Linked DNA regions of Caenorhabditis elegans. The protein of the gene in region 4 interacts with the protein of the main gene of each other region in a pairwise test. Each region holds a gene or a part of one and is shown on either strand. Other genes may lie near its edges.

Evidence for each region.
Region 1: the proteins of tag-343 (region 4) and ric-4 interact in a two-hybrid assay, tested with the Caenorhabditis elegans proteins (one large-scale study listed by BioGRID).
Region 2: the proteins of tag-343 (region 4) and toca-1 interact in a two-hybrid assay, tested with the Caenorhabditis elegans proteins (one large-scale study listed by BioGRID).
Region 3: the proteins of tag-343 (region 4) and dyrb-1 interact in a two-hybrid assay, tested with the Caenorhabditis elegans proteins (one large-scale study listed by BioGRID).

What each region holds. Positions count from the first base shown.
Region 1 is NC_003283.11:10,259,856-10,265,216, forward strand, and holds ric-4 (Synaptosomal-associated protein), read right to left. Parts: upstream 2,889-5,361; 5' UTR 2,809-2,888; coding exon 2,656-2,808; intron 2,554-2,655; coding exon 2,463-2,553; intron 2,414-2,462; coding exon 2,164-2,413; intron 2,118-2,163; coding exon 1,973-2,117; intron 1,694-1,972; coding exon 1,628-1,693; 3' UTR 1,276-1,627; downstream 1-1,275. Other genes in the region: sri-18 (Serpentine Receptor, class T), read right to left, coding at 1-64, 541-699.
Region 2 is NC_003284.9:1,517,981-1,524,108, reverse strand, and holds the start of toca-1 (Transducer of Cdc42-dependent actin assembly protein 1 homolog), read left to right. Parts: upstream 1-2,621; 5' UTR 2,622-2,714; coding exon 2,715-2,747; intron 2,748-6,128. UniProt on the Caenorhabditis elegans protein: Plays a role in protein trafficking, actin organization and embryonic morphogenesis. Potentially acts as a cdc-42 effector. May play a role in hypodermal P-cell nuclear positioning.
Region 3 is NC_003280.10:9,105,044-9,109,427, reverse strand, and holds dyrb-1 (Dynein light chain roadblock), read left to right. Parts: upstream 1-2,282; coding exon 2,283-2,361; intron 2,362-2,595; coding exon 2,596-2,804; 3' UTR 2,805-2,913; downstream 2,914-4,384. Other genes in the region: dnj-23 (J domain-containing protein), read left to right, coding at 880-967, 1,019-1,473, 1,520-1,585, 1,689-1,808; T24H10.5 (uncharacterized protein), read right to left, coding at 3,977-4,267, 4,363-4,384.
Region 4 is NC_003284.9:16,671,244-16,677,281, forward strand, and holds the start of tag-343 (RNA polymerase II-associated factor 1 homolog), read right to left. Parts: upstream 3,490-6,038; coding exon 3,408-3,489; intron 3,362-3,407; coding exon 3,222-3,361; intron 3,180-3,221; coding exon 3,070-3,179; intron 2,033-3,069; coding exon 1,900-2,032; intron 1,858-1,899; coding exon 1,698-1,857; intron 1,402-1,697; coding exon 1,319-1,401; intron 554-1,318; coding exon 444-553; intron 365-443; coding exon 1-364.

The DNA.
Region 1 (5,361 bases), on a different chromosome or scaffold from region 4:
CTGGGAAAAGTGGTATCGGCACCATTAAAATAGAAAAGTAAATGTCGAAGATCAGAAGTATTATCTGGAACATAATTAGTCAAACATTCTTCACTTGTTTTCATGCTGCTATATTAGTAAAAAAACAATCGAAAAACGCAATAATGCCTAGCCTATTATTGATTTGTTTCGCATAGACCCATTTGTACGTTACTAAATTTGGATTTTTGATATTTTTTATTCTTCGCTAATAAGTTGCATAACTTCTTGAAACTTAAAAATTAAAAAAAAAACAATTTTCCTGTCGAGGTACAACAAAGTTAAACAGTCACACTAATTATTGACCTTTAAAAAGCCGTAGATCTCAGCTGATTATGTTGATTGTATTCTTTTAAAAATGCTTCCCCTATCTATTCGTTTTTTTAAATTAGTTTTTTAAGTAGAAAAGTTTTTTCAAGGAATTTTTTGAAATTTACGAAAGGAAAACAAATAACTCAAAGTTGGAATACAAATTATTATATTTGTGAGCCTCCACATCATAAAATTGAAAATAAAACTCACTTGAAAATAGAGAAGATAATATCGATAATCATCTATCATTCCATGATGATAACATATTAAATAAACCCCAAAACTATTTATAAAAAATGAAATAACTCCCGACGTGCCCATAAATATCCGTACAGATTGTTCAATTGTTTCCCCAGAAGTGTTTAACATTACGTGATTGAAAAATGGAGCTGTGAATTTTGAAGGAATTTCTCGAATTATTTACAACCTAAAAAATAAACATCTGCGTTGGCGTTGATTAAAAAGTGATGTTCAGGCACAAAAGGAAAATATATAAATATCAACAAATATATATATTTACATAGATTGGACTAGTTCGGCTCATTTGAGTGGAATAAAGCCTAACTTTTAAATAAAACAATGTTTAATTATTGAAACAAAAAACGAATAAGCGATAAATTAATAGATAATATTCGAAACTCAATTGGCATCAAACGTCACTTTCAATGAGATTAGTTACAGAATAATCTTAAAAATTGACTTTTGCTTACAACTGCGGCAAAATTAAAATTGTAGACGTAGTTTATATAAGTGAATAGAAATTTATGCAATCAGACGAATTCTGATCATCTGAAAGTTGTGACAACTCATTCCACCTGCAATTTGATTAAAAATTATAGACTGCTGTAATCTGTCATCAAACCACAAAAACACAGAAAAATTGATAGTTTGTGACTATTCGTCATTTTCAAAGATCAATTAATTTTTAAAATTCTGTTAAGTGCAAGTATTTAAATAATTTATTCGTTATTATCCATACTTTGTTCATTCACATTCGTTTCATTATAAAAAATTAGGGCATTTCTGAAGCATGTAAAATGAATAAATGGGGGAATGTAAATACTCACAACTACCAGGTGTTTCAAGTTTCAGCTATATTTTAAGTTTTTTGTGGAAATGGGTGTTTTTTTGATTTAAAAAAAAATAATTTGTTGATTGAATAACAATTTTTGAATTTTCAATCGAAAAAAACAACTGGTCCAAGAGTAGGAGAAAAATACTGGGAGTTTTGAGAAATTATGCAATGGAAAATGGAATGGTAAGATGAGACACAGAGAGTTTTGAAAACATTAAAATATTATTTTGTGATGAGATTCTTCGCACGCTTGTTAGCAGATTCCACACGGACTTCGTTGGATTGAGCCTGGAAAAACATTGAGTTAAATAGAATATTCGATGATTTAGATTCTCCCGAGTTTACTGAGTTTCTCAAAGTATTACAACTAGAACCAGTATAAAAATAGATCATTATTTTTGATTACAAAGTTTCAAACGAACATTTCTCAATAAAGTTTTCAAGGAAAAATATTAGAATTAGTTTCTCATAGTGACATAATGTTCGATCAATACATTTTCAATCTAAATTAGGTTTTTGCAAATTTTCTTGTTATGCTTTGAAAATTCAAATTATCATTACACTTACCTTGTCATGAATTCTGTCGAGTTGTCTATTCTGGTTGGAAACTTCTGTGCTCATATCAATTGCCATGTTACGCAAATTGCCGACCATTGTTGAAACTTGTTGAACATTCTCGTCCATTTCATCTTCTCGTGCATCATTAGTGATCCTTCAATGAAACAATTGAAATGTTATCTTATTCTAATAAAACTTACTTGGTAATATATCCTCCTTGAGGTCCCATCGATGAATCTCCAACAGTGATCCTTGGCTGATCAGAGATAACACCTCCATCATCATCTTTCTTCCATGCTTTTGCAAATTCCGTCTTTTCAAAGTCATCGGTCTTGTTCCATGGCAATACACACAAACCACAACATTTTTCCATTCCTTTCAAATGATCTTCTGCTTCTTTCATGTCCTGATTGATTGTATCAAGAGCACCTTCGCAACGCTCAAGTTGTTCTGAAAACCACAAGAATGTATTTAATAGTCTAGAAGTTTGATGACTGACCTCCTTGATCATCGAGCATAACCAAAGTTTTGATTCCAGCCTCTTTACTTTCTTCGCAAAGAGCCAACATTCTTCTGGTGGATTCCAATGACTGAAACGAAACATTTATAAATTTAAGAGACAACTTTTTTTCATTTCCTAAATTTATCTCAAACACATCTTTCAATCAAACTTCTTCTGCATCAACTATTACCTCTATAGTCTTTTCATCAATTCCCACATTAAGCCCTTTAAGCTCATCACTCATATCAGCTGGAAGTACCAACCCATTGATATCGACAGTTGGCTCAACGGCATACGGACGGGGATGCCGTTGGCCGCCGGGAGCGCCGCGCCGAGCCGACATCCCCGTTTTTTCAAACTTTCAAAACCGCCCCGGCTACACGGGGAAACGATATTCGACGTTGTTTTCGTATTTATTGGTACCTTAAAACTTTTCAGATACGAAAGAAAGAAAGAAAACAAGAAAAAAATTTAAGAAGGTCTTGTCAACATTTATTGGCTTGAGAGAATCCGTGAATCAAATTTTCGGCACCTAAACAAAATGACAACAATTTCACGATTGAGGGAGCACGCCGAAACGAAGAACAATGACGTTTATGGAAGAAGACACAGATTTCGGAGAAACTTGATAGGAATGAGAGCCACGAAGGAAAAGAAGGGCACACACTGGATTGACTAAACATCCATTTTCAGAATTGGAAGACTATGCATGTTCTCCCGAGTTTGGCCAGTTTGTGACAAGCAAATATTTGGAATAATATTGGTTTGAATTACAATTAGCTTTTTCAAATTATATGAAACAGCAAAAAGCCTAGTTTCTGATAACAACTTTAGCCAATTCACCTCCAAATTACATGGCTGATGACCGGAAAATGAGGTGATTGCTTGTAATCTTTGATAGAAGAATTATATAAATGCGGTTCAAAATAAAGATATACATAATTAAATGCAACCATCCGAAATAAAAGTTTAAACTTTTTAAATATCATGATAAATGAAACATTCGATCACTTGAACGTCTGATAAAATATTATAATTTAATTTATTGAAAAATTTCCTAATTGAAAATAAACAAGTAAGTATAATGAAAAAAGATTTAGCTTTTGGAAAGAAATCACGAAATGCCTATTCCTGTTATTCAAAGTTTCTAAGGTGATCTTACAATTTGTTGTTTGGGTAGTTTTTTGATTATGGCTGACTATGATTCATGAATAAAATGAGAGCTACTCATTGATCAAAAACATATCTTGCCTTGAGGCATTTAGTTTTGTTCATATGCATTTCCAAGATGCTACACAAAGTCATAAAGTCAACAAGCTCTTCAAGTCTCACTTTAAGTCAATATCTTTAAAAGGTCTGAACTGGGAAACTGAGCCCCTTCTGGCTTCTGGACTCGGAAATTTCGGTCTTGAGAGAAAAGTAAAGAATTTATGTTTTCGATTGGAAAGAAGTGGTAAGTAAATTCAGAAACGAGAGAATAAAACAACCCAGCAAAAAATGGAGGATGTGGAGGGACAGAATGCAATACGTAAATGGAAAAAGGGACATGCATTCGAAATGAGAAGAAAGATATGGAAAAGTGTGGAAGAAAAAGCTGGAAGGAGAAAGGGACTCTTGGGAGTTTGATTGTACTACTAAAAGAGAAGAAGAAAGACAAATCAATCAAAACTTTCACGTCGTTAGTCAATGAGAATGAAAGAAGAAAAAAGAAACGAAAAGCTGAAGTTTTTGGTTGGTGAGAGAGCCTATGCTAATTGGGGGAATACCGGAGGGAACTACTAATCGAAGAGCTCTAACTTTATTTTTTAATTTGTGATTTGATAAGAAAAACAATGTCTATCACATCACAAATTGAAAATAAACGGATAACTAGTATTTTCTCACGTGGATATCAAACAGGCTAAATAGCTTCAAAAAGACAATTTTTTGAACATCAAACCGAAACTAACACAAATGCTACTTGGTTTGCAGTGAAAGAGCTTTTGAAATTTGAAATTTTGTGGTAATGTATGAATGGAGTTTTTAGTGAGTTAGGAGGAAAGCGGAGACAAAAAAAAAGAAAGCTACCATAAGGAAGTTTCAAGTTCAATATAGTTACAGCTTTCAAAAAAAATTGTGAAAACTAAAATTTCCGCTAGATTTTGAACAGAATAACTAGATCCAAGAAAATAATTCAAGTCAGCAAACAAAATGCTTTTTCAAAACTAATATGGTCAATTTCAAACGGAATAATTTTCAAGTGGAATATGAAATGTGATCCTCCAGAAAAATTAAGAATCAAGCTAAAAGCCAATAAAAAATTCTCGTTAGAAATTTATTTACACGAAATGAATACTACTCAAAAGTGCGATGACGTTAACAATTAAAAAATGCAAAGGTTTATTTTTTGTCGATGACTCGAAAACATGGTGCACATGATTCTTCCTGATTTTAATGACGGGACATCCTCAGTTTTTGAAAAAATACGTAGATTTCGAATCAAATTTAAAAAGTAGGAGGATTTGTAAAACATATGAAATATGGTTTCCCTCTCTTTTCTGCTGTTTCGATCACTAATAGTTATAAGGTTGCACTATGAAGCCTTAGTCTTTTCTCTGTTTCCCATAAAATTTACAACTTTCAAATGGTTGATTTAAAAATAAACTAGCTCCCAATAATTGAAACAGCTCAACTAGGAATTAGGCTGGTGTTGTGGAATGAATATAATCCAAAAAAAACATAAGTGTGCCACAAAAATATTTTTATGGGGAAATTCAACGAGATGGTAATGTAATGAATATGTGTTGTCCATATTAAATGCGCAAAGAGAATACACATCCATTTAGATTGTAAGTGTGCTCTATTGATAAAAATTATTGCCAAATTGAGTTTTCGCAATAAGAGCAGGCAAGAAAAA
Region 2 (6,128 bases), about 15 Mb from region 4:
CTTCTCTTCAATTTGTAATACACCTGTGCAATTAAACGCAGCAACACGTGTATAGCAATAATATAATTTCAGAAAAAAAAACAGTAATATCATTAGTCATCAAACACATGGAAAACGTGTGTATACAGTGCTTTGGGGGGCACCGTTGTAATGAGTATGGAGGTGAAAGCCGGCGTGGGGTATAATTATCGCACCCCTCTTACTTTTGACGGTAGCTTCTGTCACTTTTTTGTGTGGATTTTGATTCATTGCGCAATATATGCCATTTGCTTCGGATGAAGTAGTCTTGCGGTTGTGGCAAAACCAATGAGAAGCTAGTTGGGTGTTGGTAAATGCTATCGAGTTCCAGACGCTTTTCTGGAATTACTTTCCTTTCAAAAAATAGAACGACCGATTTTTCTGTTTTTTTTTTTGCTTTATATTTTAAAATTTGCCTCAAAATCACAAGTGTATAATTTATTTGTAATTCCAAGCTCCATGTTTCCATTTCCAATTACCTCATTTATCAACATTTCCCTGATTCATTTCAGTTAAGCCTTTCACATCACTGCCCTAATCTCTTGACACCTTTCTTTGTTTCTCTGCAATGGGAAATTGAATTTGAAATGCGGTTTGGTCAATTTGCAATGCACAATTTGCCGGAACACCTGCTCCTGAGAGCCCAAATGTCATTGACATGCGGGAAGGATTAGGAGATCTTTTTCGAAATTTTTGAATTTCGATTTGCACTGACCAACATTTTGTTTGCATTGACCAAAGCTGCAACTTTCCAACTTTCTAGTTAGACTAGAACAACTCCGAATTTTTCGAATTTTACCCCCTTGTCACCGATTCTCAGTCCCAATGTCACCTTGTCTTAGGTGTACTACCTTTCATTACTAACTTCCGAATACATTTTCTTCGCCTCCTTTTCCCCATTCTTCTTTTTTTTCTACTCAACCTTCCGAGACACGACTACCTATGTGTTGTCGTCGATTTGGCGGGTCACTTGAACTTTTGCGTTTGGCCATGGAAAGATTGGCGAGGCAGGAGGGGGGACAAAAGGAGGCCTGTTTTGCATATTACCTTGAGAAACGTCGGGTACGACAAGCATAGCATTTTTTGGGTAGTTTTTTCTGAGAGTGATTGTAGGGCTTTTTTGGAAGTCCTTTGAAACCAGTATATATATATATATTTTAGTCAGCTTTAGGTTTTTTTTTTTTTTTTTCGGGCCAAGGCAGATGGTGAAGTTAAGGCTAAAATATATGTCAGGGCCAAAAAGTGGAGACCCAGAAAGTTGAGCCTTCAAAAACTAAGCCATTTAGGCTAACTTTTACTTTCTTTATTTAGGCATTTAGGCGGTTGAGCCCTTGAAAGCCGCATCTCCATTTTTTCCGCTCCTTGAGGTTAGGCTTATTTTAAAATCCTTGAGGTCAGGCTTATCATCCTTCAAAGTTTGAGACCAAGAAGGTTAAGCCCCGTAGTTGAAGGATAATTCTGAGCCCACGAACGCCAAGCCCCAAAGAAGCCCAAAGTAATGGCTGGGCACCTGAAGTCTAAGCCTTTAGGCTGCGCTCTTAGCTTAATGCCCTTCTTCAAAAACTGAGTCCCTCGGTACAGACTAAGCTTTTAGGTTACCCTTTAGCTTTTAGGCAAGCTCGGGCCTAATTTCAGGCTTAGCTTCAGACTCAAAATTACGAGATTTCCCTCAACGTAATTCGAAAAAAATTGATTAGACTAGGTATCTCGCGCCGTGCGTATTGTTGTAAACTCTTCATTTTTCGCTCATCAATATCTCCGAAAACCCCGGGACCCCGAGGTCTATCCTAGATAGCAAGATACGCAGACGCACACATGTGTATACATATGCTATTGGGCGAGAAATAGCGTCTCTTCTTTTTCTTCTTCTCTTGGGAGCTACTTTTCGAGGTCCGAGCTGCTGCAGCTCGAGCTGGGTGCTCGAGCTGACCGCGGACCCCACTTCTCGTGACCGCCTATCTTGTTTTTTTCTGTGTTGCTGTTCTCGGATAAATTTGGGATTGGAATGTTTCTTTGGGGTCTAGCCTGTTTCAACGGAAATAAGTGAAAAATTGTTTGCTGATTTTCTTAATTTTTTCACTATTTGCTGATGCTATTTTTGTAAATTCGGTAGCTGAAAATTTCTGGTACCTGGTAACCGTGAACTATACCATATGGAAAAGTTTGAAAATTGGAGGTTTTAGGCCATTTTCGGCTATTAAACTTTTTCCGATTTTTCGAATAATCTAGCACGTTTTAGCGAAATGTTTTTTTTTTGATTAAGCTTGATTTTTTCTATTAATTTCTCAATTTTGCAATAATTTTCTCCACCTTTTTTCAACCTCCCATAGCACTCCAAATACTCTGCTCTTCCACAAAAAATTTACCCCCCCCTCCTGAGCCCCCACAATTATACCTATGCTTCCTTCCGCCTCCCGGTGCCATGAGCACCAACCACAAATTGCTCTCCATTTTTGCTCCACGACACGCCCAACCGTCAACAGCTTAGATTACTGTTTTTGTTCCTATTTACGAACTAAAGTTTTCAATTTTTTTCTCCTTCTCGTTTGTTCGGATCTTTTTTGTGCTGCTCATTGCTGTTAACGTTTTGAGTTTTTTTTCAGACTTCAACTCGAAAAAGTTCCAATTAGTGTTCATAAAAAGAAGGAATCGAGATTGGATTGGATGGTAACAACCTTTTGAAGAAGCGGCGAACAATGAACGACAGTTGCAGTTGGGACCAGCTATGGGTAAGTTTTTATTGAATCCTTGGTAAAAACTAAAATTTAAAATAAGAAAACAGGCTACTAAAATGAAAAAACCGCGGGTCTAAAAAAATGGCCAAAATCACCAAATGTTGAGCTGAATTTTTTACGATTCTAAACCGTGAATCCTCCTTTTTTCCTAGTTCAACATTTCAAAAAATCTACTGATTAAAAGTATGTACATATGTGCCTAAAATTGTAATGTTATGCACTTCACACTGTGAAAAGGTTAGAAGGTTTCCACCAAAATGAGAAAAATGGCACGAAACTTCAGATTTTCAAAATTGGGCGCTGCTTCAAATTGCTGAACTTTTAAAAAATATGTCAAAGTTCCAAGATACCAGGATTATGCCTAATTTGGAAAAAATTGGAAATATAAAATTTTTCCAAATTCTGTTACAGCTCTAAAGCACCCACGCCACGAATTTCCAGAACCTAGAATTTTTCGAGACCGCCGCAGTTTCAAAACTCCAAAATTTGACGAAATTCCGGGCCCAACCACTTTAAGGATTATTTTCTGGGAATATGCAAAAATAGGGATTTCAATTGATATCATGGCAAGACGTCCGCAGGGTTTTGCGCCGCACTATATTTTATTTGCAATTGCCTGGGTGGGGCGCGAAACCCGTTAGATGTCGGACCATAATATCATTTGTATCGATATTGGGGTACTGATACTGGCATGATCACAGATGGGCGGTCCCGATACTTTTTGAAATTCGGTAAAATTCCGAAATTTCTAAAGTTCGGATGAATTTGAAATTTGGCGTTTGCCAACTTCTAGTGCAATTTTATAGTTTCGATGTGGAAAATCCTTGGATTTTTCTCAAATTTTTAATAAAATCTAATGATCCCCCCCCTCCCCCCCACCAAACATTTCTACTCGTTCCTACATACATTTTCGCATATCACATATACCTTCTCGTCTCCCGCATACATAATTTAGTAGTTGTAAGCAAGATCGGGGGGTGGCGGGCGATCACAAAGTAACGGCGGAAGCGGCTCACCCACCCTCCGAACACACTTGAATTAGTCATTTGTTGCTAATGTAGAGGTGGATACTAATAAGGAGTGGCGGGAGGTGTATAGAGAGAGTGAAAGAGAGAGAGAGAGAGAGAGAGAGAGACGCAGAATTAAAAAACAGGGTTACCTAGTGGGTTTGCTGGGCGCACGTTAGTATGTTTTGGTAAATGCGCTCTAATTTTAAAATTCAAAAATGGAGTGGAAATTTCTATAATATATTTTAAAAACATTTTTTTTTATTAAATTGGTCCGTTCACACTGATTATGCCTACTTTTTTAAGACGTTGTATTTTTAAAAATTGATTTCAAAAAAATTAATTTTCTACTCTCTCTCAAAAACTTCTCTTAAAAACTACAAAATCCGATTTTTTTTTCGCCAAAGTTTCTTATCAGTTTACAGAAAAATTGTGAACATTTCAGAAATGCCAGTATGACACATCTTTTTGAACATATCAGTTTGTGCTTGAATTTGATTCAGAAAAACAGCAAAATTTTTTTTCTTTCAAATTTTCCCAATACTTCAGCCAGTTTTTTGTCGTTTATAACAGTAATCTACCGCAGAGATACAAGCTTATAGAACTTAAAGCCGAGAGAGTGTGGGACGAGGGGAGAGTGCAGACTGTCTTCAATTTCTAGTGCTCAAAATTTGAGAGCATGTAACTTGAGAAATGAATTCTGAAAATTGGATTTTCTATCGATTTACTCTTTAAATTTTCAATTAGGGCTCCCATGTGGGTGCCGCAAACGCCGCCCTCACGCCGGGATCCGAAATCTTAATAGCAATGCGCGAAACCCAAAAAATGTCGGATCGCGGCGCCTACATGGGAGCCCTGGTTTTAATATAATAATGGTTCCGAACAGTTTTATTAATAAAATTGCACAAACTTTCTGATCGTCGGTTCTCCGCTCTTTCCTTATCGTTCACTTCTCGCCAATTTAATAGGCAAAAGCGGTAGTTGGGGAAGGGCGGAAAGCGCAAATAAACACAGCTTCACTCTCTTTTTCTCCCTTTTTCGGCACCAAAATCGTACTTTCTGTGATTGTATTTGTGTTTAGCAGGGAATTATCAATAAGATTAGAAGGTTTTTTAAAAAGAAAATTTTTTGTGGGGTCCCTGTAACCTTGGATGTAATTTTATAACATGGTGCATCGACTGAAAACTACACTAGCAATTTTTAAGTTTACGGTTGAAACTTGTCACTTTTACATACATATTAAGGGTTATCAGTATATTATTCATTCAAAATTTGTGCTAGTAAAGTGAAATTTTTTCTCTGTTTGAAAAAATATGATAAAATGCCAAAAAGAACGTCATTTCCTATGACAAATTTTGTCCGATGCACCATGTTCAAAAAATTTCTTTGGCTCTCACATATTTTTCAGGTTTTACCGCCAAACTTATCGGACTTTTCCAGTCGATGCACCATGTTCGGATTTATTTTTCTAGACAAAATTATTGCTGCTCCTTCAAAAAATATCGATTTTTTTACCTGATGCACCATGTTCAAGTTTTCTGAGAAAAATTTCTGTAATAGTCGAAAAGTTACCGAGAACATTTCAAAACGAAAATGTCATTCTGCTTCCGTTCCCCATTCCCCCCTACTTCTTCAGCCTTACTGTCAATCCATTTCAATTCTACAACCATTTTTCTTCATCTCCCCTCATTTTCCCTTCCTCCTCCCCCTTCTAACTTCTTCTTCTTCTTCTAGTCGCGTCGTCAATCGGTGTTGGGGTCGACAATTCATTGTATATGTAGATCACATTGCATTCGGATTGCGCCCTTCCGTCCTGGCGATAGTTTCTAGGACGCCGCGCCTTGGACACTCACCGCACCTTTTTTCTGCAAAGTTTGAGTTTTTGCTTGGGGCACTTTAAGTCTGATTTACATGGAAATTAGACTATATGAGCTCTTAATTTAAGTTGCTCAAACTTTTTGAAAGTGTGCTGGTTTTGTATGTACATCTGGTTTCTTAGAGAATCGGAAACAATATACATATTTGCTTTTGAATTAATTATGGAGACAGTTTTTCTAGTTAATTTTCTTTGAAATTTTGAAAGTCGTCAATCTAGGTACCTAATGAGCTCAACCTCGTAGAATGGACAAACATTTGAAAATTCTTGCTCCAATTCTAGCTTTTTCCAAGTACCTTGATTTACATAGTTAGGCTCCACAAATTGACGCAATTCCTCAATTTTCAGTTTTAAACTAAAAGTTTCCCAACTTTGGATTTAGAACTCTGTACAAAAAAGTGAATTTCTTTAAAAATTTAAAGGCAGCTTATGTATAGTTAAAAATTCAGAACCAAAAAAAGTACATTTTATTTTCCTGGTATTTTTGAACAG
Region 3 (4,384 bases), on a different chromosome or scaffold from region 4:
CTAGGCGCCTAGAGATGGGAATGTATGTGGAATAATAGTCTTGCTAGGAAAAAGGACACGGCCTCGTTCTCGTTTTGCCTCGATTTTGCCTCTCTCTCTCTCTCGCAAACAGGCATCAAAGACTACATTGTAGTCTGCTCGTTCTGTAACTTTCATGCCTTTCGAGTTTGTGGAGTGACAATGAGCCTACTTCAAATAATGTTACGAAACTTTAATGTTTGGAATAAGGGGAAACAAACAGCAAATTTTTTTAGAACAAAATTCAGAAAAAAAAACAAATAAATTCGGTTTCAATCGGGCGAATTTGGTTACGGTGTTAATTAAAGGTGCATACGAGTTTCAGATGACAAGGTCTCACCACGAATCACAGTCTCATGGAGTTTTTTGAATTTGTTTTTTTTCTTATTTAATTTTCAACTCCTTTTTATCGATTTTTTCTATTCTTCAGCACGAAATTAAGAATAAATTGAAAAATATTGTAAAAGTAAAATAAAAAAATTTCGCAATAGTTAACCCCAATCTTAAAACTCCTGACTTAAAATTGAATTTAAAGTCATTTCCATGATCCATTTCTGTTAAATACATTTCTTCGTGTATTAGGCAACAAACAACGCTCCAAATAATTTATATTCATCCACTCCTGTTATCATTAATATAAATATTAGTAGGTAACGCGTTTCTGCAGAAATTTCATGTCTATTTTGCATTTTTTAAATTCAATTCTGACCGAAACTCGTGTTTGAACATGGCGCTTTTTTATTTGTTCGTTAGAGCAAATTTGCGATTCCAGTCATTTTATTTGAACGTTCTTCTCCCAGTGGTATTCACTCTTTCGCAACTGTTTTCTATTGATTTCTTCCATTTTTCAGCCAGCTGATTATGTTTCTGGAAGAATGCAAAACTCACTTCAATACGGATTGTCTCTACGAGCTTCTTGGCGTGAAGAAAGATTGCGATGAGAAAGCTCGTAAGTTTTTGGGAAACAAATGTTTAAAGTTAGCGAAAATTTATTTTTTAGTTAAAAAAGGATACTACCGCCAATCAATGCGCTGGCATCCGGATAAATCGAATCTTGTAGAAGAAGATATGCAGACGTACACAACGAAGTTTCAGCTTCTCAACAAAGCTTATCAAATTCTTTCCGATGAAGAGAAAAGGAAAATTTACGATGAAACCGGATCAGTGGACGATGAGGCTGGAGAGCTGAATGAAGATGCCTTGAAAGCATGGAGAATGATTTTCAAAAAGGTGACAAAAGAGGATATCGATAGCTTCATGAAGACGTATCAAGGATCTCGTGAACAGAAGGATGAGCTCGTTGTGCATTACGAGAAATTCAATGGAGATATCGCGAAAATCAGAGAATATGCTATCGGATTCGATGGCGTCGAAGAGTTGAAAGAAGCATTGGATAAACTTATTGATGATGGAGAAATTGAGAAGACGAAGAAATATGAAACGAGCACTTCAGATGTAAGTAATGCAGGTGAAATATGTTAAAATTTATGTTTTATTTCAGAAGAAGATGAAGGCTTACAAGCGTAAGGCTGAGAAGGAGGCAATCGAAGTTGAGAACATGACACAGGTATGTCATGGCAGTAAAATCTGTCACTTTATTTATAAGTTTTATCATTTACCGTTAGGTTACATTTTTAGTATATTCATATGCATAATTATTTAATTTCCAGAACAATTCGGATCTTGTCGCCCTGATTCAAGGTCGCCAGAAGGAACGTGGCACGTCGTTCCTCGATTCACTGGCTGCCAAGTATGCACCTTCTTCCTCCAAAAAGGCAAAGCGGCAGTAATTGAATCAGAATCCGCCCCTTCTTTCGTCACAACTTATCTTTCTTCCTTTCTCTATCTTCTTACTTTTCCGTATTTATGTATTCCCCTTCCATTGGTCACTGCTCCTTGTTCCATACACTCCGGAATTATTTTTTCTAACTTTTGAGATCTCTAATCGTTTCTTTTGAACTCAATTTTTTATAACTGAAAACTTGTGAAATTGCTATGTGGTATTTATAAAAAACATGCTCACTTCTTATTTTGTGTTATTTTGTTTTTATGCCAAAAGTTGTGCCCAACTTTTGAATATCTTCTTTTCGTTTTCTCGTCGCCAAGTTTTCAATATCCGACGAAAGGAAATTGAATTTATATCTCCTCAAGTGGAAAATGGAGAAAATTTTGGCAGTTCTCAGTCGACCAGCAAGTGAAAAATTGCATTTCTGTGCTTATTTTTCTTCCATCTTACAAACTTATCAATTTCCATTTGATTTCAGATGTCTGATTTCGAGGAGACTATTCGCCGTCTACAGTCAGAGAAAGGAGTCGTTGGAATTATTGTTGTCGATTCAGCCGGTACGTTTTCCTAGATAATTCTATCCTGAAAATTGTTTAGAAATGTAAAATCAAAATTAAAAAAAAAACAAAATTAATAGAAATTGTAAAAGTTTAGAAACTAGAAAGTAACATTTAGAAAAGTTAGTGTGGTCTCAGCCGAATGGGAATTACCACCAAACCTTGACAACTAATTTTCCATAAGCTTTGACCAATAAACAATAACTGTTTTCCATGAAACTAGATATTTTTCAGGCCGAGTTATTCATTCGACAATCGACAGCGACGCCACCCAGTCTCACACCGCATTCCTGCAGCAGTTATGTGAGAAGACAAAGACTTCCATTCGTGAACTCGATTCGAGCAATGATCTAACATTCCTGAGGCTTCGAACGAAGAAGAACGAAATCATGATTGCTCCAGACAAGGATCACGTCATTATGGTTATCAAGGACCTCTCGTAAAAACTGGGACCAACATTCAAAAATAATGAAAAAGCATTATATCTTTCTACCCTGCTTGTGCGATTTTAATTTATATCAGATATTTTTTCCAAATAAACGGCTTATATGCAGTTGTTTTTTCTTTTGAAAATGCTTAGAACAGTGTCCCTCCACGTAGTAAAAATACGTCCGTAGCAAAAGAGTAAAACGTAGTAAAACATCCACGTAGTAAAAGATAAGGTAGTAAAAAAGTATTTTCCGTAGTAAAAGATCTATGTGGTCAAATCGTAGTAAAAGATATCACGTAGTAAAAGAGCTAACTGTAGTAAAAGATCTAGATGCGGAATTCGTAGTAAAAGAGATTCCGTAGTAAAAGAGATGTTGTAGTAAAAGAGATACGTAGTAAAAGATCAAGTAGTAAAACAGTATTTGCCCAATTTTTGCCTCACCCTCCGTATTCGCCAAACTTGGTTCCTACTAACTACTATCTGTTCCGTTCTCTAAAATCACCTTGCCAGGCATAAGTTTCATGATCGAAAGGTCGTCGAAACGTGATTGGACGACTTTCTACTTTACCTCTCAGAAGTTCTGTGCGGAGGGTATTGCTTAGCTTCCGTTGCGTTGGCAAGAAGTCATAGGCACTAATGATGAATATATCACCCATTGAATCTTGTTCGCTTTGAATAAATACTCTCCAAAAAAAAAAAATTTTGCAACAAAAAAAAACAATTTTTTTCAATCTGTCGTTGGAAAATTGGTGGTATTAATAATCGTATAGTACTACCGTACGCCTGGAGTATTTCAAAACAATATTTTATTTTTGAAACAGTCAAAAATTATGCCGAACAAACTTGAAGAAACCAAATGATAATTAGCATGAAATGAAAATGCAAGACAAGAAAAACATGGAAAGAGCAAGCAATAAAATGTAGCCTAAACAGAAAAAATACAAATTTGTCACTACCATACAAGAACCATACAAGAATTAATAAAGTGAAAACTCAAATAAATAAACACAATCAAATTTAAAGAACTTAGTCGCCTTTGCGAGAATGCACGTCATCAGTCACGAGGATACATGTGGCTGGAATTCTGAAATAAAAATCAAAATAATTTTCATTATTAATTTCCATAGATAGTGATGCTAATCTAACTTGGGAAATATTTGTTTTGCCATCAAGAACTGAAACTCACTAGTCCTCATGATTGATATCCTCTTCTCTTTTCATGTGATGTTGGTAGTTAAGCTCAATGATCTCATGATCTTCAGTGTTAGGAGTCTTCGAGTCTTTTGCAGCAATAGAACAGCATTTGGATACTTCTATAAAAATCTGCGTTCCAAGGCACATTGGAAGTAGTTCCGCGCTCAAAGTTCTAACACTTCGATAAGCTTTTTGAGAAGTAAGTTTGGCGATGCAATCAGCCCAGAATTTACAATTGTTCTCAACCATCGGCTTCGTCGTCTTCAAATCAGTTATAAGTTGCTGAAAAAGTGTGACTATATTGAGAAAATAATAATTATACAATCCCCGCCGGCTGAACATTCGCCGTTAAAATACTTTTTTGTAAACCATCATACCTCCGGTCCAGACACTGATCCC
Region 4 (6,038 bases):
CATGGCGTTTGTTAGAGCGTTTGTGGTGGTCGAAGTGTCAGTGATTAGAGCAGCAGCAGGCGGTACAGGCGGCGCGAAACTTGGAGGCTTTGGCGGCGAGACGGCCGTCGTTGGACGAAGTTGTTGTTGATGCTGCTTCTCACTGTACAGCGGTATGCCAACAGGCTCACTTGCCGGCGGTCTTGGAGGCGGAGATGCCGGAATAGGTGGCGGACGAATTGTCGGCTTTGGTGGTGGAGGTGGGGGTGTTGGTTTGGCAGGTGGATTGGATAGTGGAAGTGGGGGAGGTGGTAGAGGTGGTGATTCCGTCGGTCGGCCAACTTGTTGTTGCCTCGAGCTTTGCTCCACTTCGATAACTGTGGATCTAATAATAGAGTGAGAATGAGTGTTAGTTTATGAAAGCGGAAATGTAATGGAATGAAAAAAAAAGAACTGCAACCTACTTGCTAGAGGAGTAAACACTGCTTCTTGACGAGTTTTGTCCAGACTCCTGAACTCCATAGATACCATCATCCACAAATGGGAGACCCGAGATTGTGATTGGGGTGGTTTCCTGAAATTTAAAAATTTTCTTAAGTTTAGTAGTTTTTAGACACCAAAATTGCAATACTTCTTGGCTGAAAATGTACCACTATCCACAAAGTAAATATTGTTTGGAAATTGTTAAAAACCACTCCTTTGGTCCCAAAATGACCAAATATCATGATAAAACTTTTCAAACATTTTTTGAAAATTTTTTATGTACTGTCAAAGAGTGGAAATTACTCAGTTTTTGCCATTCATATTTTTGGAAGTCGACCAAAAAAAAATTTTTTTTCGACATTTTTTATGTTTTAATTTTGTTTAAATTTTTTGTATGAAAGCATCGGAGGTGTCGAAACATGCGGAATTGCTTTGGATTTCCTCAAAAGCTCGTATTTTTGAAAATTTTGACAACTTGCCAAAACTTTGACTGAAAATTACGAAAAACCTAAAATTTTTGGAGTGTATTATTATGATATTCGGTTGTTTCGGGTAATTTTAAGTACATTTAGACAAAATCCCCACTGGCGCTATTCCACCTTTAAGTTAAAAAGAGTTGTGAATTTTTTTGCAATGTTTCATCACGATAGGTTTTGGGAGCTATTATGAGTATTTTGAGGCAATACAAAAACGTTTCTATACTCCACTTTTGTTTACAAATTATCAACTACATATCAGTTGAAAGTTTTGAACAATTAGCTGGCTGAGAAATCAAACAATTTCAAGCCTTCAAAAGATACCAGGTCCAAATTGTAAATATCTCCTATTTAGGCAAAAAAGTGCCATTGAAAAGTACCTGTACTTTCTCCATGAAAGAATCGAATTGATTTACAGACATTTTCCAATATCTCCTCCGATGTTCGTCATTCAGCCGATCTTCTGAAATTATTAGAACGTTTTCTTTGCAATTCCCACACTGGTAGGTACAGGAAAAAACAAATATCGCCGGATTGGCAGTTTATTTTTCTAGCGATTCGCCAGCCCGAAAATGTTTGATTTAAATGGTCGTCACGTTTTACGAGAAAAGAGGGCGAAAAATGGAGAGAGATGGAAAGTGATAATTCTTATCGAGAGCACTCAATGCCAAAAACTATTCGGTCTGTTTACAACTTTTAACACGGCGCGAGAAAGCTATGCAAACGCTGAATCAATACAAAAATTTCAATCACACTCACCCATTTGTTTTTGAAATGTACAAGACGTGTTGATAGTGAACTTGGGACACTCTGATAAACCGAATCTTCGTAAAAGAGGCTCGAAAGTTCTGGAGCCGTCGGACGCTGTGATGAACACAACAATACTGTTGCGTACATGTTCTGGAAGATTGGAGAGAACCTGGAAATGTGAAAGTAGGATCTGAAGTCAAGTTCTAGATACCTGTTGCAGTTCGTCTTCTTCGTGCATGCTCATTCTGTGCAACTGTGAGAACACAATTGCAATAACGTCCAGTCTCATCTTCCAATTGTTAAGAAGCCATTTATGTATTAAAGATGGCGAATCGAAACCATCACTGAAATTTAATTATTATTGTATTTTTTTAATCCAAGTTGTATATTTTTTGTACTGTAAAAATTACTGTCTTAAGAGTTTTCTGCATTTTTCGTAAAGTTAGTGGTTAAAAAATTTTGAAATACATTGCAATAAACAATTGAAATACATTATGTATTTTTTTTAATTTAGTAGATTAACCAAAGTAGACAGATATTATCATCATAAAAGCTCCTAACAGAGGAGGATTTTACAAGTTCTGGCTAAATTTGTAAAAAGAAACACCCGTCGTACGGCTATTTAAACTACTAGGATCATTTATCTGGAAGGAATAAAATGATTATCACGTATTTAAAAAAAAACAAAATAGTATAAGATTTTCAATAAAGTGTTAAAAAACACACAAAAAAATGGCTGAGAAAATGCAAAACGTAAGCTATGCTCCTATTATGAAATCTTCAACAATTAAAATTTTTGCAATTTTAGAATTTTGAACAGAAGAGTTGCCGATAATTTAAATCATATAATTTCGAAATAATGAATTCAAAACCTATAGAAATCTAAAAGTAAGGTCCCTAGAAACCCCAAAAACTATTGAACACCTTATAAAACAAGAAGAGTTCTTTTTAGTCCTGTTTACATTTACTTTGATTTACGACCAGATAACAAGTCGAGATTTTACGACCTGTTGTTGGCCTAATGGTAGAAGACAGTGGTTAAATGACATGGACCTCTCCATCGCCACAGCAAAATTGTACATTTGATTATGACTGCTATGAGGGACTTAGAGGGACGGTCCTTTTGTTCCCAATAAGAGCCTACATTCAATAGTACATTAAATACATAACTGGGTTTGAACATTTGACACTGCTCTAAGTTTCAAGAAAATGGTAAAGTTTTGGCCAATTTAGTTTTAATTTAATTTTAATTTGTACCAGAAACCCAAAGTCGGTAGATATCCTATTTCTTGTTTTAACATTAATTCTAAGAATAATTTATTATGCTCATTGGAATTTGCAACTTTTATGATTTTTTCCCAATTTTGAAAAAAAAACCTACTATGTATCTCCACACGCGATCATATCCAGAATTACAGGACGAACCGACATTTTTGTTTCGTTAAAAATATAGCACTGTACAGGTTTTGTAGGAGTTTCCGAGTTGAATTTCTGCAATTCAATACTTACTTTTTCATATTACAATTGTAATACTTCATTGGAAATGTGAAATCTCCTTTGATCCATTGAATCCACTCCATAAAAATAATTACACAAAAAATCGATAAGTTCTGACTTTTGAGAACTTGTTGGTCCTAACAATAAGACTACCCGGTTTTCGCGTTCTTCGTTGTCTGAAAAAAAAAACAGTAAAATTCTCAAGATAATTAAGACTCCAACCTTCCTTCGCCGAGACAAATACAGTCCTAACATCCTTCTGTTCGAGAGCTTCACCCACAAATTTCGAGTCTGGGGAGATCATGTCCTCGAGCAGAGGAGTATCGGAAAGTGCTCTACAAGTTTTGATCAGTTATTTGAGTTGGGATGTGTTGCGGCGTACAAAATGTATAATATGCAAAATGTTTGTTTTGGTCATCGCAGTTTAGTTAAACTTTCATGAAGTGTAAGGTTTCGATTTGAACTGCAATAGTTTTTGAATAGGGCAAAAAGAAATTGTAGGGTTTAAAATACTATTAACCAGAACACAAAATTTAACCCTTGAAATAAGCAGTTTTTTACCCTGCACTTATTAATTTAACAAGAGAGCATTCGGATAACTTATATATTGTCAACAACACTACAAAAAACATTCGAGAAAAGATGAAAACAAATTGTTTTAAAAAAACTTTTTTGAAACATCGGAGAAAAATATAATTTCTACGTTTGAATTTTGAGAAAATTTTAAAAAATCGCCAAAAAATAATATTTGCCATAATACTAAATCTGGCTGAGATCTTAAAATTATTTTCAGAAAGTACTAAAAATCTGCAACAAATCTGCTGAAAAATTGAGAAAAAGGATTGTCGCCGTCAAACGACCTTACTTGAAGTTTTGAAAAATCTATTTTTCTCCTAATAATTATATTTCCTTTTCTAACGCAAATTCTGGGATACCTAATTAAATTGTGATGATATTCTCTAAAGAACTGAAAACCTGCACTAAAACTATTATAAAAGAAACATTTTTAATTATGCAGAGATAATATGGTGATGCAAGTTATTATTTTATAAATTGAGTCGTCAGTTAAAAAGGGGATGAACTAATCTCAACGTCAGTTAGAAAGAACATATTTTAAAGTTTCAAAAAAAAACTAATGTAGAAAAAATCGAACATTTCATTTTGCACAAACACGTTGAGTCACAAATGTGGGGTTGCCGAGCTGTGAAAGTGCACACGCAAAGAAACAAAAACTGTTCTTATCATCAAAACCAATGATAATTATTTTATTCCTATTCTACCGCTTATGTTTTTAAGTATAACGGTACTAGATCAGAATCAAAGACCTGTTGCGAAACTGTATGTTAGGGCACTTAAAACATCTTCAGCTAGCACTAAAATTCCAGGAAATTTTCGATTTAACCATGTTTGTATTGTATTCCTCACTGCGAATTCCACCACACTGATAACTCATTCCTGTCAACACACGTACACACATACCTGATCATTTTATAGCCGAATACTTTCCGTTAGGTTGGCTGTAAATCAGCGTTGAGAAGTCATAAATCGGTTATGGTCTTGACGTAAAAGTGAGAAAAATGATACATGATGATGGGTGATAATAGTGATAATAGAGGAGAAGAGAACATATCATATTTGGTAGTAGGATTGAAACCTGTTTTTTTTGTTCGATAACCTCCAGCAGCTACACGATTCATATAATTATTACGCCATTGCAGTGTATAAGGTGTACATGTATGGGTGTCCTTGTCACCACTTTTTGATCGAACGCTTCCCAAATTGAATGGTGAAACGGTACAGTGAAAGCAATAAAGTGTGAAGTACAGCTTGTTAAGAATGTTCTGCAAGACTTGTTTAATAATTATAGTTACAAACTCAAAAACTTTTGAAAAAATATTATGGTGGACACTCAGCCAAATAACTGAAAAATTGACTACTAGCTCGAAAACGATAATAAATTAAAAAAAAAACTATTGTATGTAGGATATAGAAAATTTTTCACGGAGGTTATCTTTTTCACAGTTATGAATAAACTTATTGTTTAGACACTCACACCAGTGAGCATATTTGCATTTTAGTTAAATGCGAGGGGGCAGATAGCTCAGTCGGTAGTGGTGGCCGCTAGCAGTCTGGAGGTCACGAGTTCAAGTCCGGCCTCACCCCCTAGGTTTACCCAGCCTCTATTGGGAAGTGGAGCAATCCACGACAGGATTATCGGCCACAGTCCCCGGCTAGGACGTGGCTTAAATTACAGCCCAGAGGGATCACCACCAGGCAGTGTACCTGAATCCCAGATCCGCAGTGCATAGCACTTGAAGAACGGATCGTCCTTTAATTTTTTTTTTTAATTACCTCGCGAAACTTACAATTTCCTATTTTCGTTTTTACCTTTCTGCTGGGTTTTGACATTTTCACGACAGGGTTTTTGAGAAAAATCAAGGGAAATGAGAAACGAGGGTAGTAAATCGTGATCCACGCGCAAATTACATAAATACTAAATAAAAAACTCTCAAAAATAGTTTATGAACTCGCGGCAACATTTTTTGCATAGTTGTGCCACTTAGTAGAAACACTGAAATTTATGTGCTATATCATTTAAATATTATTTAACGACGTTACTATCATTGTACACGTTTCTCTCTCTAAGTAAGTAAGTAAGTATCTAAGTATCTTAGAATGTTGGGTTGTGTCAACCGTATAGAAGAACTGAAGTATTTCTATGCCATGTGAAATATTTGAGCCCTAATTGCCTTCTCTGTGGAATTCACGTTTTGATGGTATTTGTTCATGAATTATTTTGAATTTTTGTCATCCGAATGCCACAGTTATGTGTCAGACAGCATACTCGTAGTT